Coturnix japonica: one gene and its partners. The protein of the gene in region 6 interacts with the protein of the main gene of each other region in a pairwise test. Links are inferred from orthologs where the notes say so. Each region holds a gene or a part of one and is shown on either strand. Other genes may lie near its edges. The genes, in order: KLF11, PDK2, OSTF1, HOXC4, MTUS1, HTT and TACC1.

Region 1 (4,296 bases), on a different chromosome or scaffold from region 6:
GCGGGCCAAAAACTTGTTACCATTAATTATAACTACAGAGCTAAGTGTAAAAAAAGAATGACAGATTCAGCTTTCAACTGCAAAAGGCCCCTGCTGATTTCAGGGGAGTGCTGAGATCAGCAAGTCTGTCTAAATGAGAACAGCACACTGCCCACACTGAGAAACAAGGCCTGTGTTTAGAACAAAGCCATGCAGGAGATCAGTGCATCCCTACAGACCTGTATTTTGCACATCCAGGTGAAAAATAACAAGTCCCTGTCCAGCACCCAAATAAGTTCAATATAGGAGAGGTTGAAGATATGAGTCCCGGAGGGTGAACACCATAGAAACACTTCATAACAAGTGAGATTTGGCCAGCAAAACAGCAGCTGGCACCTCACAGCACACACATACCCACCTGTACAAGGGCTGCTGAGCCAGCACACAGCACAGAGCTCTGCAGCCACCCATCTCACTCCTCAGTCACATTTACACGTGGTGTGAAAAGAAAATGCAGCCAAGAGGGAGAGCATCTCGTTTAATAGAAAAGGGTGATTTGATACAAAGTACTGTGAAGTGTAAGGCCACGTGAAGAGCATCATCGAGCTGACAAAGGTGGCTGTTTCTTAAGACATGACCAGTATTTGTCCTGGTGCTTTGATGCGGGTCATCAAAAGCCTGGAATAATTTTCTATGAGGTGCATCAGCATCCACAATGCGTAAACCTCATGTTCTATTTCTCCTGTATTTAAAACAAAATGCAAACACGGACCCAGCTAATTGCTCACACCTTATCCTGCCATTTTTGCTACCTTTCAGTAGACTTTAATACTCTGATTTTGTGGGGCTGAAAGTAAAGCGTCGTTTTTAGTGTCAAAGCTGCTGAACAGCATCTGTGCTTCTACATCCAGCAGAGCAGCCTGGCTCCCCAGTGCTTTGCTTGGGCAGAGTGGGGACCCAGGAACACGCAGTGTGTCAAGCTTTCCTAGTAGCCACAACAGCTTCCACTTGCAATAAGCATGAACTGATGCAGTGCTGAGGATTCCAACACTTCATTTCTGAAAGTCATTCTAGGGTGGTTTTGTTGGGTTGGTTTTGAGCTCGCTGTTATCTCAAACTATCCAACATCCAACGGCAGCTGCACAAGGAGGATCTAACAGCACCCATCTACTGCAGGACCAGAATCCAGAAGCGTGAAATCCCCAGCACCGCATTTCTGAGCATTACACGCTCACACAATGCACCGAATGCATTTGGTTGGGCTTACAGGAAAGCAGCTCCCAAAGCCCCGGGTTTCATCCTGCACAACTCTACTAACGCAGGGCAAGTCAGCCTGCATACAAAGATCCAAAGGAATAAATACAAAATATATTTGGTATAGAAAACACTAGTATCAAAAATTAAAAATCACCCTGTTGCACTGTCCATCCAAATATTAACAGCAAGCAATGCGCGTTGACTTGTTTAAACCTATTGACTTGTTTAAACCTATTGCCAAAATCATTTCAAAAGAGTCCTGCCTTCCTGAAGTGCTGGTGATTGCATCCGCCCAAACATCCAACACACAAACAAAAGGATGAGGACACAGCATCCATTTCTCCCCTAGCATTATTAACTACAATGAAGGGAACCCAAGTATGTACAAACAAACACGCTGAGGGGGTGAAGAGGGCCGTGCTGTCAGTCCTGTTGTAGCCAGCAGAGCTCTGTGCGACTCATAGTAAGTTTAGAGGAGGTGCTTTGTCCCGCTGCCCTGGCAGACGGATGGCACAGGGATGAGCATACTCAGAGCGCCGCTGCCTTTCGGTTTCTCGGTCGTGGCGATTCTGTTCAGTTTGCCCAGCTCCGTCTGCCAGCTGGGGACCTTCTTGGTGGCCATGTGGCGCCGCGTGTGCTTGGTCAGGTGGTCGCTGCGCATGAAGCGCCGCTCGCACACGGGACAGGCAAACTTCTTCTCTCCCGTGTGAGTTCTGCGGTGCCGCGACAGTTCGTCCGAGCGGGCAAACTTCTTGTCACAGCCTTCCCAGCTGCAGCTGAAGGGCTTTTCTCCTGTGGAATGTGAAAGGAAGAGAGCTCCCATTAAGCTGTGTCTTACCACAGAGCTGTGTCCTTTTGTTTAAAGAAAAGCAACTTCACCAAAACCTGATCCCTGAGACCATCCTTCCTACGTGGCCACAGCTCTATGAGCACTACACATCATGAGCAAATGCTGTGGGTAAAAAGAAAAGCTGGACTTCAAGCTCCCTGCAGCACTCCCTCCATCCCTTCCTGCTCAAGTGACCTGCACACCCATGCAACACATCAGACAGCCCACGTGCCCAGAGACCCAGACTCCTACAGGAGCTCTGGATGCCAAGGAAGGAGAGCAGCCAGGAAGGCTTTCAGCAGCAGTTTCTCGTGCTGGATGACTGCTTAACATCACACCCGTCCTAAACAATGTCATCTGCTGACTGCAGCCCCCATAGACCTCAAGAAAAACAAGATAAACATCTACTCTTTACCATCAATCTGGGAAACTCTTTGGAGTCAAACAAAAAGTCCAGCAGAAAAGATGCAGCACAGCAGCTGCGTTCTTACTGCAGATGGCAAGCGAGGCTCGGTGTGCACGATGCCCACATAGCTGCTCAGTGAGTGGGATGAAGCAGGAAAAGCAAGTTGCTGCTGCTCTGCACACTGATGCTGCACAGCAGGATGGCAAGTGATGGGACCGCGTGCTTCCCCAGCCACGGGTGCTCATCTTAACATCATAGCAGACACAACTTCCCTGGTGGGTCAGCAGCAGTACGTGCCAAGGGAGAGGTCTGCTGCCACAGACCAGAAGCAGAACCACCATTCTGCCTCTGAGCTCCAGTTTACAAGGATTATCAGCTTCATACAGAGCTTAAGCTCTGTTCTCATAGGAACTGTACAGACAAGCTGGCAAATTGGTGCACATCCTGCCATGGAACCACAGAGGGTGGCGGAAATAAGCAAAGGGAAAACAAATGAAGACATTTAGATGAGCTCTTCTTTATCAATCACCTGCTGTGCTCGTTCCTCAACATCAGAAACAGCCCCTGCCAAGAACTCAGCCTTTAGTTTTGATTTAACGGGATCTGAGAGTTGAAAAGAGAACAGATAGAGCACATTTACACTGCCTCTATGCTAACCAGATGTTATGGAACAAATCACAGTGATTATAACTAACTTACAGTTACCTAACGTAAAACTAGTTACATCCCTGCAGGAGCTCGACTTCCTAACACTGTGGCCCAAAATCTTAACACACACCTATTTAGCCTGGCCAAAACTCTAGGAATTCTAATCGTAGTGGTACTGGTCGTATTGGAATGTTCCTTTTCTTTCATTCACATGCAAACTAAGAACAACTACCTGCACTGTGGATAGCTCACACCAGAGCCCTCCACGCTCAAAATAAAGACTTGCACAATTCTCTGCAATCCAGTCCAGCTGGCAGAGTTCCACTCCAATCTAAACACATGCACACAGAGGGCAAAGCTTTGCTCCAACTAAAGCATGTGAAACTCAACCAACGCTACGGGGTCGGCTGAGGTCTCAGAACAAAGTCTGTTTTGTTTTGCTTGCCCGTGGAGAATGAGCATTCTGCTCCTCTCCCAGATGAGCACAAGATCCCTGACCACCTGCCCCTTTCCTTTCCCACCCGCTGCCACGCACCCTTGAGCACCCCAACGACAGCTCACCCCACGTTACACACCAGTGTGGGTACGAAGGTGGGCTTTGAGGTGGGAGCTCTTGAAATAGGTTTTCTTGCACCCGGGGAAGATGCAAACGTAATTCCTCCGTCTCGAAAAGTCCATCTGGGGGGCGCAGCTTTGACCAGAAGCGATGAACACGGGGGCAGGAGCGAGGGGCAGGAGCTTGGTGTTCCCAACAGTCATTACTGTTTGCGGGCACTGCGGCGTCGGTGCGACAGCAGTCTGTGGAAGAACCAACATGACGGTCCCCTGAGGCACAGAAGATCCCACGAGCACGGGCTGAGAAAGCGGAGCTGTCTGCGGTAAAATAGGTTTCATGGGAGCCGAGATGGTTGGAGCTGAAGGTTTGACATAGGCATTAATCACACCGCTCTGTCCGCTCAAAGGGATCATTTGACAGAGGACCTGGGGGCTCGACACAGGGACCGGTGTCACTGGGGTAGCTCTTGTTTGCAAGTCATCCTCGCAACTCTTTGGTAAGTGGGTCTGTGGAGAAACAGGTCGGGCTGGAAGCTGTGCCTTGCTGGGCACCACATCACTGCAGTCAGCCGCACACGGCTGGTGCACTGGGGAGGCCTTGTTAATTAAAGCATCGGCAGCA
Region 2 (4,285 bases), on a different chromosome or scaffold from region 6:
GGGGATGGATATGGGGTAAGATATAGGGATGGGGCATGGGTAGGGGACACATAGGGGTTGGGGGGGGTGGACATCTAAGGGGGTATGGACACCTGGGGGGGGGCACATGGGGGTTGGGGGAAGGGGGGGGTGCAGCAGGATGCTTGGGAGTAATAGGGACCATTGGGGTAGGGGGATTATGGGGTCAGGAAATAGGGGGTGTCCAGGTGGGGGCACTCAGGTCATAATGGCTTGTGGGGGGGGGGGGCATTGGGGGAAACAAGAGATGCTACCCAGAGCAGGACTGGGCCATCCAGAACCAATGGGGACAGCAAGGGTGGGAATGGGATGCTCAGGACCATTGGGGGATTATAGGGATACACGGGGGATGCCCAGTGCTGGTGGGGGTGACACCGGGGGGGGGACACACAATATAGGGGGGGGGGCACACAGGGATGCTCACTGTGCTGGTTGATGAGCATGCGGATGGAGATACGGCTCAGGTAGAAGCGGTCGAGGAAGTATTGGATGTTCTGGTTGGACACCGGGTCGTCCCCATAAGCATCTTTGTACTCAATGACACCCTGTGCCATGGTGGGCACCACGTCGTTGTGACGGTTACGGATGGTGACCAAAGCGTTGGTGAACCTGGAGGGGGGGGGGGGTGATATGAAGCATAGGGCAGCCAGTGTGGGTGGCTGGGTTGGGATCTGGGCTGGGTTATCCTATAGGAGAGAATCCAGAGTGGGGTTGTGGTGATGCTATGGGGGTTTGGGGGGGGTCACAACGCTGGCACCCCACACTCACTGCCCCAATGTGGCCTGGTCCTCAGGGTCCTTATCCAGGAACTCCATGATGTCCAGCAGGCTCTGCACGTACCTGGGGGAGGAGATGGTCACCCCACAGCCCCAGCAATGTGCCCACCCCCCCATACATAAGCATTGATAGAAGGGCACTGCCAGGCCCTGCTGTCCCCCCATGCCCCCCCCCATTACACTGGCAGTGCTGGCACAGACCTGAGGACACAAACAACTCGTCACATGGCAGCTGGGAGTGGGGCCAGGATGCCAGCACCGACCTTAAAGGAACACCCCCCCCCCCAACCACACAGCCCCCCCAGCCATAGGGGACAGCAGGGACAGGACAATGGGGCAGCACCCTTTGGTTGAGGACCCCCCTGCACGTCCCCATGCAGCCATTGTCAGCCCAGGGTAAGAGATGGGTGCTGCTCTATGGGATTCCTATGTCCTGTCCCTGGGTCAACCCCCCCCACCAGCACCCCATGGACCTGCTGGGGGGGGGGCAGCAGTGACAGAAGTCACAGTGGGATCAATGTAGGCCCAGGGGGGCACCAGGCAGGTGGTGGCAATAGGATTGGACCCCATCAGGGACAGCAATGGGATCCATGGGGGCACCTGGTGACAGGGGTGGGACCCATAGGGGCGTTTAGTAAGTGACAATGGTCGGACCCCTATAGGGGACAGCACTGTGACCTATGGGGGCACACAGTAGGTGGTAGCAATGGGACTGGATCCCTATAGGGGGCAGCACTGTGACCCATGGGAGCACATAGGTGGTAGCAATGGGACCGGATCCCTATAGGGGACAGCACTGTGACCTATGGGAGCACACAGCAGGTGGTGGTAATAGGATCAGACCCCTATAGGGGACAGCAGTGGGACCTATGGGGGCACACAGGTGGTAGCAATGGGATCGGACCCCTATAGGGGACAGCACTGTGACCCATGGGGGCACATAGGTGGTAGCAATGGGACCGGACCCCTATAGGGGACAGCACTGTGACCCATGGGGGCACACAGTAGGTGGTGGCAATGGGATTGGACCCCTATAAGGGACATTAGCGGGACCTATGGGGGCACATAGGTGGTAGCAATGAGACCGGACCCCTATAGGGGACAGGGGGGTGATGTCCCCATACTCACCAGCTCTGCACCAGCTGCACGGACGGGGTGTGCAGCACTCGGTCGGGCAGCAGGTTGATCTCCTTCATGATGTTGGAGAGGCGAACGGGCAGCTCCTGCCGCAGGAAGGCAAAGGAGGTCTTCTCACAGGCATTGCTGGAGCCTGGGGGGGGGATATGGGGGTCAGAGCCAGCCATGAAACAGGCTGAACCCCCCCCACTGTCCCTTATAGTACAGGGAGCACTGAGGGCTTGGGGATGGGGGGGGGGGTAGGAGGGGACCAGCACAGCCCAGTACAGCCCAGTATAACCAGTGTGCCCCTGATTATAGGGGATGGGAACGATGGGTGCCATCAGAGTGGGGTTCAACCCATGGGGGGGCGACATAGACCCCAAGGAATGGGGACCTGGGGGGGGGGGCGATCATAGACCCCAAGAACGGGGACTGGGGGGGGGACAAATTAGACCCAGGGAAGGGACCTGGGAGGGGCATATGGCATAGAAGAGGGTTGGACCCCCTGCCTGCAGCCATAGCAATACGGGTATATATATGGACAGCCACTGCGAGGGGGGGTCCAACATGGGACCCCCCCTACTGGTTGGGGGGGGGGGCGTGTCCATTTTCCGAGTGGGGGGGGGGGCCGTTTAAATGCGGTCCACCCCACCCCGGAGCAGCTGTTTACAGGGCAGAGGGGACAGGACAGACGGACCGGACATACATAACGGACATATGACATCGGCGACTCTTACTGGGGGGGGGGTCGTGGGCAGAGCTTGGGGGTCTTCACTCGACCGAAATCCAGGAACTGCTTCATGAAAGCGCGATGGCGAGAACTACTGAAGTGCTCGATGTATCGTGTGGCACCCGGTCCCCACGGGCCGCCCGAGCTTCCCCAGGCACCTCAGCAGTCCCCTTCATGGCCGCCCCAGCCCCCCCCCGCGACCCCTCGTCGCCCCGATCGCCCGCTTGCTCCCCTCAAAGCCCACGGCGTCCCCGTCGGGCCGCATAACAACGGCCCTGATCAGTCACCGCCCTTCCGGACCATCAGCGTCCGTTCTGCCGTCGGACCCGCCCCTATATTAGACACGCCCCCCGACGTTTAACCCCGCCCCTTTTTATTAACCCCTTCGTGCCCGGAAGCCCAGCGCTCATTAACCCCTTCGGCCTGGCGACTCCCATCGCCTTTTTCCCGACTGTATAAGCCGCCCGGTCCGCGCACACACCGCATGATTCCCCTCCACTCCACGGGGCGCTCTCTCTTGTTATCACATGCCAACTGCAGCATCCTTCTCCCTTCAGGGATCACCCCCCCGGTACCATCACCCCCCCCCCCCCCCCCTTTGGGCACCCCTTGCCCTTCCCACCCCTCCTTTTTTACCCCCTACTCCCCCTATTCCATCCATATAGCAAAACCAACGGGGCAGATGAGAGGTTAGAAATCCCAGAGCGAGGCTTTATTAGCCCAGCAGAGGCGTGAGCATGGCCGAAGGGGGGGCGGGGGGCTCATAGACACCTCCCCCCCCCCTCAAACCCCAGTACCGACCCCACTCTGGGGCTTGACACGAGAACGCACAGAGACATGGAATAATTTAACCCCCAGAGCTGTGAGGGATGGGGGAGGGGGGGGGGTGAAGCCCCCAAGCCCCCCCCATAGTGGCTGCAGCTGCTGAGGAGCGAAGGGGGGGGGGGGGCAAGCTTCCATTGTGCACCTATGTGCACCTACCCCCCCCCAGCAAGGGCTGAAGGTGCAGGATGAGGAGGGCAGGAGGAAGGCACGAGTAAAGCTGGGGGGGGGGCACCCCAAACCCAGAGCACAGACAAAGGTTGGGGGGCGCATCGAGGGGGGGGGGGGGTGGCAATGAGTGTGTCCCCATGTGCAACAGTGGCGGTGGACCACCATAGAAGGGGGGGGGGAGCGGCAGCACAGGAGCAGGAGGAAGGCACTCAGGAGGACACAACGGGGGGGGGGCAACACATGAGGACCCCTCCCCATTCCAAGCGTGCAAGAGGCACAAGGGGTGTGCAAGGAGCACAGGGATGGAGCAACGATGCTGCTGCTGTGCTTGTGCAAAGTCACCCCACAGCCCCATATCGGGGTGGGGGCTGGAGGGGGCGGTGCAGGGTTGGGGGGGGGGTGTCAGTAATACTTGTCCTGGCTGCTGCCAGCTCGTCCACCCAGTGTTTCTTGCGCTGGGGCCGGGGGGCGATAACGCTGCTCCTGCCGGATCCGAACGCGTGGTATTTGGGCATCACCCGGTAATAGCGGGTCCGCTGGAAGAAGTCACACTGCGGGGGGGGGGGCAAGAGGAAAGAACGTCAATATAAAGCGGTGGTGGTGGATGGAGGGTTGGGGGGGGGATAATGGGTGAGAGCGGGGCCGGAGG
Region 3 (3,998 bases), on a different chromosome or scaffold from region 6:
GAGAATTTTTCTCTTAACTTAGAAAACTGCAAAGGCAACAGACGTACTTTAAGGTAGCGTCCCTTTATGCTACATACTCTATTTCCTCCTTCCTCACTTCCTCTCAACTGGGATCATTTAAAACTGTAATTTCTTTCAAAGACTGGTCCTTCTCTCTAAAACTTGGCTGTTTTGTGGACCTTAGCCCGAGATCAACAAACCTTACTTTATCTGGAGAACATTAAAGTAACAAAGTTTTTTTTTTTTTTTGTTTTCTTAAAAAAGAGAATTTCCAGATTCCTAAGAGCTCTTACTGCACACTTTATAAGGCCTTAGCCAAAAATGCATAACCACCATTATTCAAGGAGACAACTAACAGGAGTCAATGCAGCTTGTCAGGTTCAAAAGACTTGAGTAACTTTTGTAATTAGAATTAACATAAGACACAGAATGTTTAGGAGGTTAATGAACTCTAAAAAGAACGATGTTGTTTGAGATATCAATAGAGCTTTTGAAGGATGGAGGGGAAATCCTACTCTTGCATTATGCTGATTTAGAAGAAAGCTTCAATTATTTTCAGTTCTCACTTCACTCTTCCATATCACCAATGGCAAGTTTGAATAGGGAAAGAAGAAAAAGCTTTCAAACCAGTACAAAAAGCTCTTGCAGAAAAGCAAATTGAGAAGCTTGTTTCAAAGGAAAGTCTTGGAACACTAGAAATTAAAAATTTCCCAAAGCCATGAAAAACACTCACAGCCTTCTTACTCAAGGGCTAACTACAGGCCCCAGAATACAGGCTTGAGAGCTGACAAACATTATTAGATGATTTTCTAGAATCTATTGATATCTAAGCCTTCTCCTTCATAGATGAAGCACAATGCACTGCCCACGCAGCCAGATTATTACAATGAAAGAGCCTTCTATCAAATAAAAATCCTGCATGTACTGAAGAAAACCCCATTCACTGCTATACTTAACATTTTTCCCTTAGCACATCCTGTTTTGCACATTTTCAAGGCACTGTCTGGGCATTCATATGTAACTGTAATCTTCACCAGTAGAGTGAGGAATGCGCTCGTTGTTTCAGAAATGAATATAACACTAAACACAGTTCCCTGCCATCAACTCTATCTCCTTCCATCTCCATGTAGTTTGTACGTTTTCTTCCCGAACATTTCTTAAAGGACTACAGCAGCCAAAGTCTTATTTTTCCTTCTACCTGCTTGAATTGCGGCATGGCAAGCAGATTGCTGCTTTGTGAAAAAGCCAGGACGGTTTACAGACTGAATACCAGACAACAGTCAGTGTAGAAAAAATAACATAACTTCAGCAAATGAACCAAGAAGACGTTTCCCCACGTGAAGCATATAAGTTAGTAACAAATAGAGCATTGTGCTACTCTAGTTTCAGCACACACAGACTCCACGTTTATGTCTTTAACTCAGTACGCTTTAATGTCTACAACCCGAATGAAATTCAGTGTTAAAAGCATAACTGGTTTTATAAGGGCAGACGGACAAAATATTTTGGAGGAAGTCTGAAGGCTGCCTCTTCCTGAAAATGACTTGGGAAAAAAAATATTCCACAATAGCATCTGTAAAGACATTCCTTCTTCAAAAAAGGGACTCCACAAAATGACTTTCGTGACCCCTATGAGCAACTACTAAGAAAGTCTTATCCTCTTCCTCTTTCTTCTTCAGCCATTTATTTCCACCCATTTCCTTTTGCTGTGTCAAGTGATCATGTGGTAAACCAGATCAGCAAGTTCATTAAAACATGAAAATAACCTGAACATGAGCAGAACCCTGCAGTGCCAGAGCACCAGCAGACTGCCGTGCCACCTCACTGAAGGACAAAGTGACAGGGAGGGCACAGCGAGCCTGTCTGTCTGGCAGCAACCTGCATCTTACCACAGCCTGCCCAGGCTGGGGATGCCCAACATTAGGCATAGAACATCTAGCCTGCCTGATAACTCCGCAAGGCTGAACAGTATAAATCCTTGAAATTTGCAAGATTCTTACCCTAAACCTAACCAATCATTTTGCAAATCGGAGGACTGGAAAAAAAAGCTTCTTCCCGCATATCTGGCTGCTAAAAGCAGCACCACACCCTTCTCATCTCCCGGAAGCCCACACAGCACTTCATTCACCTTCCCAGAGGGCAACTGCAGCGTCGGGGCTCCTATCGTTGCCTTTTTCCTATTTCAGGTCAACTCTGAAAGATGCTCAGTGGGTGAGATACCAGAGGAAACTGTTACTTGGAAGAAGTTCTGAGGCTTTAACAGATCAGCAGAAGGTGGATGATGACGCACTGAGTGCTCCTAAACCCGGTCAGCAGTGTTTTTACAAGACCCTGCGATTCGCTATGAGTTTTGAGAAACGAAGATCCTTGCGGTGTGCCCGAGGACAGACCCGCAGCCCGCGCCGCAGCGCTCGGGCGGCGCCGACGTTAATGGCGGCGGGGCGGGGAGAGGCGGGGGCCGCCGGTTCTGACAGCCCGAGCCCCGCTCTCCCGCTGTCCACGTGTCAGCCAGCAAAGGCCGCCCGCGCCCACGGTGGCCCCGCGCTGACAGGGAGAAGAGGGGAAGGTGGAGGGGGGGACTAGTCTTGGGGACCCTCCCTTACCTGGCTTGGCGGGCTTGGGCGGTGGCTTGGACATGGCTGCGGCGGGACCAGACGAGCTGCGCAAGTGCCTCGGGGCGGTGGGGCAGAGCGGGGCGAGCCGCTCCGGGCTGCTGGGCACGGTGCGCGGCGACAGCTGCGGGTAGGAAGGGAGGGGGCGGACGGGCGGCCGCCGGTACCCTGCGCAGCGCCCCACAGCGGCAGCGGCAATCGCTGCAGCAGCCCGAAACACCCTACAGCCAATCCTCGCCTCTCTCTCCTTTCCTCGGTGGGAAGATCACGGGGAAGGGAGGGCGGCCAATCGGACCGCGCTGTGTCGGAGGGGGCGGAGCTGGCACCGCAGGGCGGGTGACGGCTGGGCAGCCGGAGCACGGCTAGTGGCGGTAGGGGGTGGGCTTTGTTTGGGTGTGTGGGTCCCGCGGGTCCGCTCCTCCCGTGTGGGAGCTCCTGGGGCGGGTGGCTCGTTTGGATGCTGTCGTCGCACGTTTAATGCTCAGCCCGAGGCAGCTCTGTGAGGGAACTGTCGTGGAACTTCACTCGGCCCTTTAAAGAGGCCGAGTTAACTTTGGAGTTGTGTGCTGCAACGCTGGAGGCCAGTTTGCCCTCGCAGTTTGGGTTCTACGTTGTGTTCTGAGGGAGGCAGAGTTGGTGGGTTGGTTGGGATAAAGTTTTGTATAGCCAGTGACGTAAGTTGAGTCCAAAGCTCAGTGTGTGCGCCCAGATGTTATTTGGGTTGTGCTGCAGAGTTTTTGTGGGACAAAGGCTAATCCCCCAGAACACAAACCTCAGTGACAGCTTGGTTGGAAAACAGCAGTGGGGTTTTTGCAGATCATGTTTCATCATATCCTGAGAGCAGGTAGTCTGTTTTCTGGCTCCACACAGACAGCCAATGCCATAAACATACAGTGAATGGTGGAATTTGGGAGTTACTGGATTTTTGAAACATTTTTCTTCCCTCAGCACAACACTGGTATTTGTTTTTTATTTTAATTGGCTTTTTGTTTGTTTGTCTTTCCACCTCAGCACCTGTTTACCCAGACATTTGGATACTGTTAATGATTGAGCTGGGGTTGTGTTTTTTATCCGGGTACTTCTGTGCTTATCAGCAGTGGTAGAATTGAATCTCTCAAGGTCTGTCTCAAGTCATCAAATACTGACCTAGGTAAAACGCATAGAAATCTGTAATGCGGCATCTGTGTTGGAGGGTTTTGTTAGCATTTGAACAAGCAGTTGTGGTTCTGACAGTAGGCTTATGGGGGAAAAAAAGACAGAAAACAAGTATATAATACTACATAAGGCTGGAATGTCTTAATAAGTGCTGTTATTTTTTCTGATTTGAGAGTTTTCTCTGACTCTGTTTTTGACAGTGTAAAGGAAGAACTGAAGAGAAAACAAGCA
Region 4 (3,532 bases), on a different chromosome or scaffold from region 6:
CTCTTTTATTATCCCTTTTTTTACCCCGATTTCTCAGCTATTTCTCTCCCTCCTTCCCCCTCTGTTTTCCTCTCTGTGTTACGGGTTTCCTTTCGTTTTACCTCGATTTTTACAGCGATTATTTGTTATTTTTTAACCTTATTTTTCCTCTTCCCCCCCCCCCCTAATTCCCAACCTTCGCTTTCCTACAAAAGGATTTCGCCTCTCATTGTGAGCCCGTAACGCAGAGGGGAAAACGCACCGACATCGGCCCTATTTTAATTCCTTTTACCGTCGCTATTACCCCCCCCCAAAATCCTTCAATTCAATTCATCTCAATGGAACCTCTTCCTTCCCTTTCACCCCCCCCACCTCCCAACCTTCCCCGGCTTGAAAAAATAAATAAAACCCTGAAAAAGGCCTTAAAAAAAGAAACCCGCAGGTACCGACACCTGGTTTCATGCTACCCGACATGCAGCTACAGCCCATGGGCTGAAAGAGGGGAGAAGGGGGGTGGGGGTTAAAGGGGGGGGGGGGTCTATAACCTGGTGATATCCTCCGGGTCCCGCGGTGGGGGCAGCTCTTCGGATGGAGCGGGGGCTGCGGGGGCTCCGGGGGCAGCGCTACCCGCTCTCACCTTCGTATTTGGAAGCCGATGGTCTTTTTTCCATTTCATCCTTCGGTTTTGAAACCAGATTTTGATCTGCCGTTCCGAAAGGCAAAGGGAATGGGCGATTTCGATGCGTCTCCTTCGGGTCAGGTACCTGTTATAGTGAAACTCCTTTTCCAGCTCTAAAACCTGCTGCCTCGTGTAGGCTGTCCGGGAACGCTTGGGTTCTCCTCCATTGTAATTGGGATTCACTGGAAAGGAGGGGAAAGGGGGGGGTAAAAAAAGGGGAAAATAGAGGGGGGAGGAGGAGAGAAGGGGGGGGGTGGTAAATAGAAACAAGCAAGGAAATAAAGAAGAAATTAGCGTGAATGGAAAGGGGGAATTGCGAAGAGAGGAGAGCGGAGGAGCCGGGAGAAGAAAGTAATGGGCTAAAAAAGGTAATAAAGAACTTTGGGCAGCTCGAGAGTTTCTATTCTAATAGGAAGGGGTTTCCCTGGCTCAAAAGACTGAATTATTTATGCACCCCTTACAAAGCTTTCGGAGTTTCACACATACATAACAGAACGAACCACATGGCTGAGGCTGCCCACAGTAGCTCGGCTATAAAATTTATGGTGGGTGTAATTACCCATTCGGAGTCGTAAATCCAGTTCAATTGTGCTAACCCAAAGCCTCTCATGGAAGGGAAGGATATAAAAAAAGAGAGAGAGAGAAGGAAGGAAGGGGGGGGGGGAGAGGATGGAGAGAGGGGGGGGAGAGAGGGAGGGAGAGATCACGGTGTGAAAATACGAGAGCTGAGAGAGAGAGAGGAAGACAGAAAGAGGAAAATAAAAGTTGCATACCAGTACTGACGTGGATTTTTTTCATCCAGGGATACACTATGGGTTGTTTGGATGCTGTGCTGTTAGGATGCTCGGGGTTTGGCTGGTTGCAGGCTGGAGGGGCTGGGGAAGGAGTAGTTGTGGTGGTGGTGGATAGAGCAGCCTGCTCGCAGAGCTGCTGTGCTTTCTCTGAGAGGTGTTGTTGGCCTCCTGTAGTTTGCCCGTGTCCCCTTTGGTGCGCGGCCGGGTTGCCCGGAGCTTGTTGGATACTACCGCAGCTGAACTGGCGGTCGGGGTAGGAGGAGGGTCGTGGTAGTGGGTACAGCTCCGGGTGGTGATGTTGATAGCTTGACTCCCTTGTCCGGTTATAATATTCCGGACTGTGATCTGGGATGTAATTATTTTGCGAATATTCCTCGCATGGAGGAAATTTCGGATCGATGTAGTTAGAGTCCACCATATACGAACTCATGGTCATTAATTTCTGGAGTGGAAAATAATTTTTCTCGCTTTGTCGTTTTTCTGCTCCATAAAGCCCTCCTACTAGCTGGCGACCCCGTAAAGTTACTTTCACCATGTGACTCCCCCGGCCAATCACACCCGGCAGCCCAGTCCCCGGATAAGGAACCAAAAGCTTTTGCAAAATGCACCTAAATTGGGGGGAGGGAGAATTGGGGGGGAAGGGGGGGGGGGGGGGAGGTTGGATAAGGGGACACTCGGGGAGAAGGGGCGACCTATTGAGGGGGGGAGATGCGGGGTGGCCCCGTTGGGGGTCCCCGTTGGGAGGGGGTGGGGTGTGGGAACAATGGAGGACCCCATTGAGGTGGGGGGTGGGGGCAGCGGAGTGTTCCCCCATAGAGGGGAGGGATGAACAACGGGACCCCCATTGGGGTGAGGGAGCTGCCTCCCCATCCCACCTCGCAGCCCCCCGACTTGTGTGTCATGCAGCCCCCACCCCCTTCACCCCCATCCCCCTCTCTCTGTCCATCACCTCCATTCCGAGGAGAGGACAGGGCACGATGGGGACATTGAGGGTGGGGGGGTTTATCCCCACCCCCACATCCCATCCACCTCCATTCAGCTGTATAACGGCTTAACCCCCACCAGCACCTATTCCTCTTTTTTTTTGGGGGGGGGGGCTGTGTACACGAATGATCTGGGATGGAGGAGCGGGAGTGTGGACCTCACCGGGTTTGGGGTCTCCGTTGTGATCCAGAGACCCTCAGGGACACGAGAAGCCCCCAACTCCCCCCAACCCCCAACCCCTATCTGGACCCCCATTACAAAACAGGAGACCCCATCGTGCTCCCCAGATTAGGAGCAGAGTGGGGTGTCGTGGGGGGGGGGCAATGCGGGGGGCACTGCTTTGCCCATAGAGAACACACGGGGCTCTATGCGTGTGTATGGGGGGGGAACAGCCCCACACCCACTCGTGTGCAACACACGCGTGTGAGCAGCCCGGAGCCGCTTTGCCCTCGTGATGGGAGCTCACCTGCTCGCCCTCCATAGGGGAGAAGCTCTTTGGGGTCTCTTTTAAATCGAGGGTGAAGGAGTCGGAAGATGAGGGAGGGGGTTTGGTTGGGAGATAGTGGGGGGGGGGGAGATAAAACCATAAGAGATGCTTTAAAAATGGCTCCCAGGCGTCAACCCCGGGCAGGTTAGGGAGCAACGAGAGGATGTGAACATTTGGGGAGGGTCGGAGCTCCCCCAATTAGAGCTGTTTATCTATGGTTCTCACTAAAGAGAGGGGCAGAGGAAGGAGGTGGGGTATTCCCTCCTCGCGCTTGATAACAATTATAGCTGAAAATCATCGCTCGCAGGGCATTGCCATATTTTACTTGATAACAATAAAAGTGACACATAAAGTTAACTGTTTATGTTTTATTTATTAGACTAAATGTGCCAGCGGTGTCGAAGGCTTTTGGCTGGTTGTTACAGCTTTTTATGGGGTTGTAAAACGCCATAAATCAGTCACCGCGAAATGGTCGGGGCTCTTTGTGCTCTTGGCTGAGAGTTGTGTTTGCGGTGGCTGCTGCTTCTGCTGGAGATGAAAAGTCATAATGGGATTTTATTCCGATTATTATCACCCCTCCCCCTCCCCCCATCACCCCCCTACCCCCCC
Region 5 (3,500 bases), about 18 Mb from region 6:
GCAAATATCAGTAAGAGTAACAAACAGAATAAGCACTTTGTCTTGTTATATGAGCAAAGAGCTGACTTGTAATAATGAGAGATCTCAAGCAAAGCACTCGGTCACAATTGCTAGTCAGACACTTGACAAGCAAAACAGTAAAAGGCAAAACATTCAACTCACATGCATGCAATTAGTAAAAAACATACTACCACAGTACCCAAGTGACAGGTCAGAATAGTTTCACTCCACAGTTCCAGGCTCAAATTCATAACACCTAATTAGTTACAGCACGTCTTTGAGAAAGACATCTGCTACTCACTCACAGGGGACACAGGGCTTCCCTCCCAGTGAACCTCACTATCTTTCAAAAAAAGCTTTTCAGTAATTAAAAGCTTCTTTTAATTTAGCACGTACTCAATGATGCTCAGAAAACTAATTTTGACTGCATGTTCTCTTGAAAAAGACCTAGAAATTCCTGTGAATAGCAATCTGAAGGCCTCTCTCTCTCTTCCAGCAGGGAGAAACTAGCACCAGGTGCCCTGACTGGCATGACCACTGAAAACAAATACAAGATGAAGTCCATGAACTCCACCAGATTTTGGAACACCATCTGCCACTTAATCAGTTGCCACTCCTCCCTTGCCATCCAAGCAGACACATGCACTAACAAGTTTGGATAATTTCATCTTCAAGTGTAGTCTCCAGTGACAGAAACACAGACAGCTGACACTAATAGGGGAGCTACCACGAACCTTCCAGAAAAACCTGTTATTCTGCATGACTATTTATGTTAAAGCCACAACACATAAGCTGTAATCATTAATTACCTCAGCTAGGCTAAACAGCAAAATCTACATCTAAGTTTCATTACCACATTTTTTTCCCCCTCCTGTTGTTAGTGCTAAAACCTTCTTAGGCTTCACTGGAAAAAGAGAATGACAGACAGAACAGACTGCGTACTCTAAAAACCGGGTAACCAGAAGACATTAAGTAGACAAAACTTCACCTTCTATCAACTGAAATCAGAATCTGCGATGGTTTACAGAATTTACGTTGCAAAACTATTCTTCCAAGAAAAAATATAATATACTAATATAATGTGTAAATCAAATTTAAGTTCCACTTCAAAGTACGTAAAAATACTTCCAGAGAACTCACCAGAACCATAAACCGACAAACTCTGCTGTCTGTTTTTTCCAGGAGTACCTATGATGTACAGAATAGAAAGCAGAATTATGCTTCAAGTCAGTAAAGGAGAGAGTTGCACTTTTGTATCTCTTTGTACATAATTTCCTCATGATATAGGTAGTTTTAGTTTCATCTTTAGGATTGATTGCATGTTTAAAGGAAAGATTTGGTATGAAAAAGGTTAAATTATTTGGAAAATGAATTCCTATCAAACGTTTTTTCTATTTCAGTTACCATACTTCATTTAAGCTGGGTAGCACTGTTTATTTATTATCTTAAACAAAAGAACAAAATGGAATAAAAAACAGGCAACAAAAAGTAACTACACATATGAGCAGCATCATAGTTTTTTTCCAGCTATATACTCCAGTAACTTTATTTACATAAAGCAGGTACAAAAAGGTACCTAATCAAGTTACATATAAATGAAAATGGTGAGAGGGTTAATCTACAATTCCTGTATTGTTTTTGTGTTAGGTGAAAAGTGAATTAAGAGCTGCATTATTTTAAAGGATATCAATTTAAGGAAAACACTTTTTGCTAGGTTTAAGCACGAAAGTTACATGCAGAAGTTTATAGAAGGTCTGTTTACAACAACTATCACATTCAGCTGTCTTCTTCCCCATAGTAGGTATTATCAATAAGATTAGTACCACAACCGTACTTTTTTCCCTCGACCTGAATGCTGCAAGTACATATTTACTCCCAAATTGAAAATCTTTTATTACTTAATTTGTCTGAGGAGTCAAATTTATTCTTTGATTCAAACTAATTTTAAAAATGACTAATTTCAATTAAATACTAAAGATAAAGCAAGTATTTGACACTGAAATGCAAAGTTAAGTACATATTACTCTAGATGCAAGTTTGAAGCAGGCAGTGTACTTGAAGTACATTGTCTTTTACGTCCAGATAAATAAATATATACAGAATATCTTGTAGAGCCTATCTCTAATACTGTGAACTATGCATGAAAAGAATGGACTGACAGTCTCAACTGCTCAAGTTATTTAGCATAGCTCCTCTTTCTCAAGATGAACAGATACAAGAATATAATTGAAAATGTAACTTTACCCAATAACTGACTGCCTCTAGCCTCACTGACTTTCCTTGTTGAGTGCAATGGCCCAGATGATTTTGTCGTGCATTGGTTCAGAGAAGCACACCTGGCCTTGGCTCCTAGAAGAAGAGACTTACATCAGATTTAAAAGTACAGCCATGACAGCAATAAAGACATGCCTAACATCACATATTTACACTACCAGATGCACGAGACTACTCAAATAAATATAAAAAGAGGTATTTTCTATAAAATGGAATGCTACATTTAAACTCAACTTTGTTTTTAGCAGAACTCTCTACTGAAGCAATAAAATATAATTTTAATAAAGCTTATTAGGAGAAGTTTAAGAAAGGAAAGACTTCACCTTAGCACTAAGATAGTATTACTTAAGTCACTTAAGCAGTGGCAAACAAAACAGCTACAGGAAAGTTGGCTGAAAGTGACTTATGGACGCCTGCTCTGATGGTAGGCTGACATCACCAAGACGAATTTAGCTGGCCATGAGTCCTGGAAACTTCCAGGAATGGAGATCCTATGGCCCTGGACAATGTGGACCTGTACTACTTTTCCTCATAATTCTTCCCAAAACGTTGGGTCTCCCACTCCATAATTTGTTATTACTGCTACATTATCTGGTACTACTGAGTTTGGTGTCATCATCTTTGTTCAAGTAATTGTAGATTGTTACAATACCTCCCCCTACTCTTCCTTTCACCTAAATAAGCCTCATTCCCTCATCCTCTCATCACAACCCATGTGCTCCAACACTGTTCCCAAGTGTTCTGTTTCCGAATAACCTTCTTGAAAAGGGCAGACCCCAAAACAGATCAGTCAAGGTGGAGCTTCACAAACACCAAGGAGAGAGAGAACACCAACTTCTGGCCTTAACGCTCCTGGAGGTGCTGAAGGCACACTTCCAGCATCCAGATCACTGAAGTGATTGAACAATGAATAATTTCATTGCTTATCCTGGGCCTGACATAAAAAGCATTGGCTTGTCAGGTAGTCATATAATTTTTGTTTGTTTCAGTGATTTACAGTTTCTGGCAATATCTGCCTCTTATCACTGTTTACTATTTTAAAGCATGTCATTATAGCATGACATTTGGCAGGCTTAAAACTTAAGCCTAAAGCAGAAGCATTGTATTTAATTAGGTTTATCCAATTACAATAACCAGTTCACCACAAAGATGGTCAGAAGCAAGCTGATTATAACTAGGATTTACAGGACAGAGAGCACAAGCTTATTTATCTGCTCCCATTATGC
Region 6 (3,500 bases):
TCTCTCTTATTGTTTATGGACAAGTCCACTGCAACTGCTTTAGTGCCCTAAGCATCTGAATAAAATGTTTTTAAGCTGAGATAAATCTGAGCTATAGCATGCTTGTCTGAGAATAGGTAAAACTAAGTGTGCATATTTGAATGAAAGCTGTAGTTCTGTGAAATACTGGTGAAATATCAGTCAAATTAGTAAAATTAAAACACCTAATGTACACAGTCTGCTTTTAAAACTCCTATTTAACCCTACTGCCATCAGTGTTAGATACATAATGTTCCCTATTTGTGTCTTTCAACATTTAGCCTACAACTCTGAAGAAGACTTTACAGTGCTTAGAGGGGATACATCTCAGCCAGTCTGGAGCGGTCTTGACATTGTATGTTGATAAGCTTCTTTGTACTCCATTCCGTGTGCTTGCTCGCATGGTTGACACACTGGCTTGCCGTCGGGTAGAAATGCTTTTGGCTGCAACTTTACAGGTAAAGATAAATACATTTATCTGCAAATCAGTTTGGGTAGTGCTAGCAATAACAGTCAAATGTAAGTGTTTAAATTAAAGTTATTTCTGTGGAAAAATAAGGCTTTATATTATATATAGATATATGAGTGACTGCATTTCACTTTATCTGCATATGAATCTCATAATCTGTTCTAAGTACATATGTGTATTTTACTTGTTTTCTTGTGACTCCTATAGAACAGCATTACTCAGTTACCAGTTGAAGAACTGGATAGAATTCAGGAGTATCTTCAAAACAGTGGATTAGCAACAAGGTAATACCGGTACCTGTTAAAATATCAAGTTAAGATATTTTGTAGAAGCAATTATGATAGCTTTGAATTTTTTTTAAGCTAAGATAGCAAATCCTGTTAAGAGGTGAAATGAGTAAAGCATCATATAAGGTCCTTGCATGTTTTAACTCAAAAACAGTTGTGTTGGATGAGTTTAATTCTTAAATGCATTTTACAACTTCAGGAAAGCTAAAGGCTCAGAGATGTCAGACTCTTTCTACCCCAACCCATTAAAATATTTAACTTTTAAAAGTTACCTCAAATTAATTTTGGCAAAAATTACAAACTAAATTGCTGTGAAAACAACTTTATTTTCCTCAGATTTTGTCAGCTCCAGCTGCTGTTTTTTTCATTCACTGGTTTAATCTCCCTGTTGTTTATAAGTATAAACTGCTATTATAAAAAAGAACAAAGTGTTCAGTCCTTTCAAAAGCCTTATTCAATGATGGGAAGAGTAATTTAATTCTCCTGATGTCATTGCTATCTGAAATTCCTATCTATTGACTAACATAGCAAATAGAAGCGAGGTAAAGAACATGAAGCCTAAGAGCAGTAGATTGATAGCAAGGTGCTTTCACTTAAGAGATTTAATTTAAAAATATAATGGTAGTCAGAATCTCCAAATGACTTTTACAGTACCACTTTTGATAGCAGTACTGGAATCAGAAAAATACAAAATAGAAAACATTGATTGTAGTGACTTTTAAATCCACAAACAGAAATTCTTAAATATCTGTTTACTTCTATGCCATTTTGTTAAAGTGGATTCTTGTTTGGTATCTGTTAGAACGTAGTCATTTGCAGTCAAGTCTGTACGTTAAAATTGATTCTTATTCACTAAAAAGGTGTGCTACTTAAAGAAATGGAGCAGCTTGCATTTTATGCATAAGCATGTACAAGCTTAAAGTCTGAATCAAATCTTCATTATTGGTACTACAGAACTGAATTTTTTTGTTCTACTGGTAGCTGATGAATTTTGCAGTTTTATATCATGCGGATGAGCCAGCAAAAATTTTATGATCCTAGTTCTATTCTGTCCCAGTTATGAACATTAGTTCACTGGATGAGTTTCTTTTTTTAAATGCTTTATGAAACTAAGTTAGCCCTTTGCTGACACTTGTTTTTATTTTCAGACACCAAAGACTTTACTCACTCTTGGATAGATTTCGTCTTATGGTGGCACCGGACACAACTAGTCCTTCTCCTCTGGTTACCTCTCACCCACTAGATGGAGAAGACCAACCAGGTTTAGAGAATGTAATTCTAGATAAAGTAAGATGCTATTTAGAAATGCCTTGGCTCAAAAAGTATTCTTCCTATTACAGAATATTTGATAACAGCTTATTTCTAATATGTTCTTATAATTGTCAGTGGATCTCAAATAGTGATCAGTGAATGATTTCATGTATTAGCTGTTAGGCTAAAGATTAATAATTAGAATGTGCGTGCATATTTCTTATAGATATGGTGCCATGAAAAACTATCAGCTTTTTTTTTTTCTCTCCATAAAATTAGGGAAAAGATTTACAAGAAGGTTCAGACGTATGCTGTCATCTGTTTTCTTGATGTGTTTCCAGCAGTGATCATTTTTATTAATTTGTTGATTGAAAATAGCTTGTTGTCTCTTTTTGAAATTCTGTCTTTTATATAATTAGATACATTTATCTCAGAGCACTGATGGCCAAGAGGATTTTGAGGTCTTTGTTTAATTTTGTGAAAATATGTACTGAATTTATTTTCTTCAATTATTAAAGGACTGGTATATGTCACTAGTGAGGTCTCAGTGTTGCATCAAGTCTGACTCAGCGCTACTAGAAGGTGCAGAACTGTTAAACAGAATTCCTCCGCCTGACCTGAACTCGTTCATGAGCAGCAAGGTAACTTTTCTGTCTGATGGAAGAGCATCAGCTGAAGATGTTGTATTAAATTGTTTCTGATATTCTAGTGGGTAGTATTAATAGATTAGATTCTTAAATACAAGTATTTCAGATTTATGTAATACTAGTACTTCACCTGTTGGATTTTTGGATTTCATTAAGTTTGGGAAAATAAAATACTGAATGTTCTTTGGCTCTGTCTAGCGATGTTGCTAATAGTTTTCTAATCGTACAGATTGTGTTTATGGAGTTGAAGTGAAGTGGAAGTTCATGTATCTGCTTTTGATCATCTATACTAGGTCACTTCTCACATAGCTCTCATGACACAGATGATGAATCTGCAATGAATCTACAACTGGGTTTATTAAGAGCATAATTTGCTCAAATACTCTACAGTAAGTTTACTGTTGGCATGCAGAAATGATAGCAGGAAGCTATTTTAAAAATATTTTATACTTTCTCATCTTGAGGAGAAATGAGTAGAATTCAGATATAGATCCTGTGGAGTCAGTGCTGAGCTACACCTTTCAGACTTTTTAGAGTTTAAGATTCAATTTACTAGAGGTACTTTTGGAGGAAGCAAAATGTTAATTTAAGCTAAATCAAGACATATAGTTTTATTTTCGAGCTTATTTATTTCTACTAATTTTTCTTTAAAGAGAATAAAAATTCCTGTGATGTCTGTGAAATGGGTCATGGTATTGGTAGTTCGTTTTTGTTTGGACTGTGACTTGTCTGAATCTGCATACCAAATAACTGATAGAGCTTGCACTTTTCAACCCACCGTTAACTAATATTTCTGCTAAATTTAGTATTTTGGGCTGAATTGCTGTT
Region 7 (4,284 bases), on a different chromosome or scaffold from region 6:
ACCTCAACATCCTCCTGCCTGCTTTTGTGCCGAGCAGAAACAAGCAGCCACTTCCCCCCCATCTGAAGCAGCAGGGCTGATTTCTGCGGATGAATTTTACATAACGAGCCTCTTCAGCCTGTGAACGGCAGCACGCAGCACATTGCAGCAGAGCTGGCTGCAGCCTCAGCTCCTCCTCCTCCCTCTCCCCTTCCCATCAGTCACTTCACAGATCGCTGCTGACCCAAAAGACTCCACTGGAGTGACAGCACTGCTGCGCCATAGAGCGGCTCACAGCTGCAGGGATGCCACGGAGCAAACTGAAATGCAAAGGGCAGAGGAGCAGCAGTGGGAGCACGATGCCTCTGCCACAGGGATCTGCATCAGCCATGGCACAGATGCTGCTGCTGCAGCAGCACCCACTTGTTGTACGGGGGATGTGGGAGGAAATCAGCAACATCCAATGGAGGAAATCAGCAGCATCCTTCCATTGTGCACCAACACACAGAGCGGGCCCCACTCCCAGCAGCCTCAGAGGAAGGAGCAGGAGTGGGGTCAGTGAGATGAATGCTCATTGGGAGCAGCTAACGAGCAGAGCCTGCTTCCACCTGCTGTCTGCAATGAGCAATACTGAAATCGCCTCCAGTGGCATTTTCCAGCTTGGCGCACAACCCAGCCTGGCAGCAGCACTGGCTGCAAATCATTTGCTGAGGAGATAACCTGACTGCATCAGTCACACTATGGCTCGGGCACAGCCTGCAGATGCATCTCTGCAGGGGATGCTGACCTGCTCCAAACAGAGCTGCCAGCAGCTCCAAGCAGAATGAAGGGCAGACTGAGCACACAGCCTGTGTCACTGCTGTCACCCCACCTGGGCTCAGCACAGGCCATTACCTTGTGAAAATGCCAACTTTGGGAATGAGGAAAACTACCCAAAGCTTTGTATAGCCCAGCAAGGACTGTCCTGCAAACGCTAGGGAGGATGTTGTTTTGTAATATGTTCCCTGACCTGTGCAGTGATGCTGAAGAGATCAATGCTGATGACTCTCATCTGCAGCTCACCTACCTGGGCTGGGAGACCAGCCAAGGAGAACTCTGCCTAAGTCAGAAAGGGCCCTGGGAAAACGCAGAGGGAGGGAAAAAGAGCAACCAGGGTGCAGCAGCCCCAGGTTTCCATCCCTGTGACAGTTCCCATCGTTCCACATTCCACCAAAATAGCTGTGTAAAAATAGCAGTGAAGGACACAACTGTCACATATGAGCCTGACAGCACCAGCAGCCCCCCAGCTCCAGCTGTCCTTCCCCACCACGCAGCTGTCAGGCCAATGAGTGCAAGCATTTATGGCTGCTTTCAAAAGGAGCGATGCGAAAAGGAGCACGCTGCTTGTCCTGCGCTTTGCAAACAATGTGCAGGGCTTCATCTCACTGATCCCAGTCGTGTGGACATGAGCTCATGCAAAACAATTCAATAGAAACAGCCCTGAAATGTGTGAGTTTCACTTGTGATTTCTGACCGATGCTGTATGAACACGAGCACCTTCCTTCACCTCCTGGCTTTGTCCTATCCACCCTATCCACTCCTTTGCTAAAAATATCCCTGCTATGTGGCAAGAATGCTCTTATCAGGGGGTTGTCAGGCTGCTGGATTTTAGTTCAGACTTGGAGATATTGTGAAACACGGGCAGCATCTCCACATTGCTGTCCATGCACGGAGCACAGCTGCCCTGCAGCATCCCAGCGCTGCTCCAGTGCAGCCCTGGAACAATGCCTTGGGTTTTTCTGCCTGGGAACACCTCTAACTTAGTAGAACTATACAAGGAAATAACAGGCAGGGCTGCGGAGCAGCAGAGGACAGAACATTCCTGTTTTTCCCTGTTGCAGTTGTTTTCCCTCTGTTCACAGAGGAATGTTTGCAAACATTCAGAGGAGCAGCAGAGGGCACCTGCTCCATACAGCCCAGCACAGCTCCGGAGCAAAGCAAAGCAGGGCAGGTGCTCCCCGCTCACCTGCAGCACTGCGGACCCTCCAGGTCCCCCAGAGCCTTCCAGCTGAGCAGAACAGCAGCAAACCTCCCGAGAGCAGTTATTTCTGCACCACGGGGCGGCTCAGTGGGAGCAAACATTCCTGTGTTCCATTAAGTGTTCGGGCTGATTTTAAGATAAGCCTCCCCGGTTTGCCTTTTGATCACAATTCAGCGTGCTTTTCTTTTGTTCCCAGCTCCCAAACTCCGTCGGTAATTCACAGCACTCCCGGTTACAGCCCAGCTTCCAGCTCCAAACCCCACACCTTGTTTTCTTAACTGCACTCCTGGCTCCTCGCGTTGTGATTTATGCCATGCAATGCAGGGGTGAGCTGCAGCCCGAGAAACTCAGTGTGCTGACAACAAACGGGAAACAGCCTGTTTTGTCAGGAACACTGAAAGCAGGGAGACAAGAGGGAAGGGAAAGGAAAGCTTTTCACTCACTCACTCCATTCTCACTTTCCTCCTGCTCTGCAGTTTCCAAACCAAACTCTACCCCTTAGCACTGCAGTGGCATCCCCAGCACCGGGATCAGCCCCGGTCTGGTTCTCTCTCTCCCCCGGTCCCGCACTCACCGGCGCTCGGCGGAGCCGTCCCGCTGTTTCTGGCTTTGAGCCGCCCCCATAGCGGGACCGCAGCTCCGGGTCGTGTGGGGCAGCACCGGGCCGGGCCGGACCGAGCTACCGCTGCGCTGTGCCGGCCCCGACGGCGTCCCCGCCTCCGCGGGGGAGTGGACGGCACGGCTCTGCTCGGCACCGCACCGCAGGCGGACCCGGAGCGGCGGCATCCGACCCGGCGCCGATGGGAATCTGCCCCACGAGTTTGTACCGAGAGGGAACGGCTCCTGCCTGTCTGTCTGACTCCTTTTTCTTTCCGTGCAGCCACGAGCTGCTTTTCCGATCTACCCTCGGCACTCAAAGCCGCGCTCCAAGCTGACAACCCAGGGCAGCACTGCTGGACCCGCAGCCTCAGCACAGCACCGTCAGGTCGCACCCACAACCTGAGCATCCAACGCCCACGGAGCCCTGAGAAAAACTCACATATTCAACCTTTCCTTTTTTTCCCTTAGTGCTCTGGTTTGGGTTGTGCTATTTTTCAGCTAGAAAAGTGTTGACACCGTTGCAAGATTTCACCTTCCTAAAAAAAGAAAGCTATAAAGAAAACCTTCCTTGGATGAAAACAAAGTCTCCTGACCAGCCTGATGCTGGCGTGCTTGGGTTGCAGGAAGGCACCAGGGCCCCGTGGGCCCATCGTGATGCACAGCACATCTTGTCCCCGTAGCGGGTGATGTGCCCCACACTGTGTGCTCGGCTCTGTTGGTTGGCTGCTGACTGAGGGGCAGCAGATGGGAATAATCAGCTTTAGGCCAATCCCATGGAAATTTCCATGTTCCTGGGAAGGAGGCACTGCAAGCCCTCGCTGCCACCCCAGGGCAGAATTCCATTGGGGTTTCCGAGGACGGTGACTCAAAGCTGTGGCTGTCACATGGCTGTGTTTAAATACTTCAATGGAGCCTTCCATCCAAACAGCACTGCCCCAAACCCACCCAGAGCTGCAGCACTGGGCTGTAAGTTGCCTGACTGGTGGGTTACCACTTCAGCAGCCCTGATGCAGGGACTCTGTGCCCAAACCCTCCTCCTGCTGCCGTTTTCTCAGGTCTGAGAGCACAGAGAGCATCAGTGAGGCTCCCACAGCAGCAACTCATCACCCAGTTTGACGTGCAACACGAAGCCCGATGTGCCCACGCCGGCACGCAGCATCCCAGGGTGCTCACACAGCTCCTCCTTAGCAACGTAAACAGAGCCACAACACTGAGCGCATGCAGAGAACGTGGGAGCACCACGAGAGCGGGCAGCAGGGCGAGCTGCCACAAGGGGCTGCTGGGGACCATCATTCTGTGACCATCTCCGCACCAAGGCTGCCCGGGGACACCTCGTTCCCTGCTTCCTCCTCCCTCCATCCTTCTGCCAAGCACTCAGCCCTCAGCTCCCTTCTTTTTCCTACCTTTCCAGCACAGATCCGTCCCAGCACCGTCACTCTCTGCCACCTGTCCCCGGAGTTCCTCGGAAAGCTGCTGCCTGGAAAAGGAGCACAGAGGAAGGAAGGGGATGGACGGGGCGGGGAGGGCCAGGCGTCGTCGTTAGGGGACCTCGGCGCACCCTGAGCAAAAGGAAAAAGGATGTTTTGTAATATCTGGCGTGTCTTCCCGGAGCAGGGAGAGGAAAACAGCAGGACAGGCAGTGCTGGGTGAACCATCCATGGCACTGCCGGCACCGCAGCCCTCCT

What was found.
Region 1: the proteins of HTT (region 6) and KLF11 interact in binary tests that used the Homo sapiens proteins (3 or more experiments, as listed by UniProt). The link is inferred for Coturnix japonica from reciprocal best matches to the Homo sapiens genes HTT and KLF11.
Region 2: the proteins of HTT (region 6) and PDK2 interact in binary tests that used the Homo sapiens proteins (3 or more experiments, as listed by UniProt). The link is inferred for Coturnix japonica from reciprocal best matches to the Homo sapiens genes HTT and PDK2.
Region 3: the proteins of HTT (region 6) and OSTF1 interact in binary tests that used the Homo sapiens proteins (3 or more experiments, as listed by UniProt). The link is inferred for Coturnix japonica from reciprocal best matches to the Homo sapiens genes HTT and OSTF1.
Region 4: the proteins of HTT (region 6) and HOXC4 interact in binary tests that used the Homo sapiens proteins (3 or more experiments, as listed by UniProt). The link is inferred for Coturnix japonica from reciprocal best matches to the Homo sapiens genes HTT and HOXC4.
Region 5: the proteins of HTT (region 6) and MTUS1 interact in binary tests that used the Homo sapiens proteins (3 or more experiments, as listed by UniProt). The link is inferred for Coturnix japonica from reciprocal best matches to the Homo sapiens genes HTT and MTUS1.
Region 7: the proteins of HTT (region 6) and TACC1 interact in binary tests that used the Homo sapiens proteins (3 or more experiments, as listed by UniProt). The link is inferred for Coturnix japonica from reciprocal best matches to the Homo sapiens genes HTT and TACC1.

What each region holds. Positions count from the first base shown.
Region 1 is NC_029518.1:88,047,091-88,051,386, reverse strand, and holds the end of KLF11 (Krueppel-like factor 11), read right to left. Parts: coding exon 3,695-4,296; intron 2,029-3,694; coding exon 1,706-2,028; 3' UTR 501-1,705; downstream 1-500. UniProt on the Homo sapiens protein: Transcription factor. Activates the epsilon- and gamma-globin gene promoters and, to a much lower degree, the beta-globin gene and represses promoters containing SP1-like binding inhibiting cell growth.
Region 2 is NC_029542.1:2,597,587-2,601,871, forward strand, and holds the start of PDK2 (pyruvate dehydrogenase kinase, isozyme 2), read right to left. Parts: upstream 2,801-4,285; 5' UTR 2,716-2,800; coding exon 2,694-2,715; intron 2,065-2,693; coding exon 1,923-2,064; intron 859-1,922; coding exon 787-858; intron 628-786; coding exon 443-627; intron 1-442. UniProt on the Homo sapiens protein: Kinase that plays a key role in the regulation of glucose and fatty acid metabolism and homeostasis via phosphorylation of the pyruvate dehydrogenase subunits PDHA1 and PDHA2.
Region 3 is NC_029547.1:33,132,675-33,136,672, reverse strand, and holds the start of OSTF1 (osteoclast-stimulating factor 1), read right to left. Parts: upstream 2,801-3,998; 5' UTR 2,638-2,800; coding exon 2,604-2,637; intron 2,309-2,603; exon of another isoform or gene 2,217-2,308; intron 2,212-2,216; coding exon of another isoform or gene 2,201-2,211; exon of another isoform or gene 2,120-2,200; intron 1-2,119. Other genes in the region: NMRK1 (nicotinamide riboside kinase 1), read left to right, coding at 2,201-2,211, 3,968-3,998.
Region 4 is NW_015439867.1:81,566-85,097, forward strand, and holds HOXC4 (homeobox protein Hox-C4), read right to left. Parts: upstream 2,081-3,532; 5' UTR 1,988-2,080; coding exon 1,432-1,987; intron 841-1,431; coding exon 518-840; 3' UTR 501-517; downstream 1-500. UniProt on the Homo sapiens protein: Sequence-specific transcription factor which is part of a developmental regulatory system that provides cells with specific positional identities on the anterior-posterior axis.
Region 5 is NC_029519.1:56,734,800-56,738,299, reverse strand, and holds part of MTUS1 (microtubule-associated tumor suppressor 1), read right to left. Parts: intron 2,350-3,500; coding exon 2,245-2,349; intron 1,189-2,244; coding exon 1,141-1,188; intron 1-1,140. UniProt on the Homo sapiens protein: Cooperates with AGTR2 to inhibit ERK2 activation and cell proliferation. May be required for AGTR2 cell surface expression. Together with PTPN6, induces UBE2V2 expression upon angiotensin-II stimulation.
Region 6 is NC_029519.1:74,584,380-74,587,879, reverse strand, and holds part of HTT (huntingtin), read left to right. Parts: intron 1-299; coding exon 300-476; intron 477-694; coding exon 695-771; intron 772-1,922; coding exon 1,923-2,061; intron 2,062-2,543; coding exon 2,544-2,666; intron 2,667-3,500.
Region 7 is NC_029537.1:3,754,999-3,759,282, reverse strand, and holds the start of TACC1 (transforming acidic coiled-coil-containing protein 1), read right to left. Parts: upstream 2,801-4,284; 5' UTR 2,786-2,800; coding exon 2,574-2,785; intron 1-2,573. UniProt on the Homo sapiens protein: Involved in transcription regulation induced by nuclear receptors, including in T3 thyroid hormone and all-trans retinoic acid pathways. Might promote the nuclear localization of the receptors.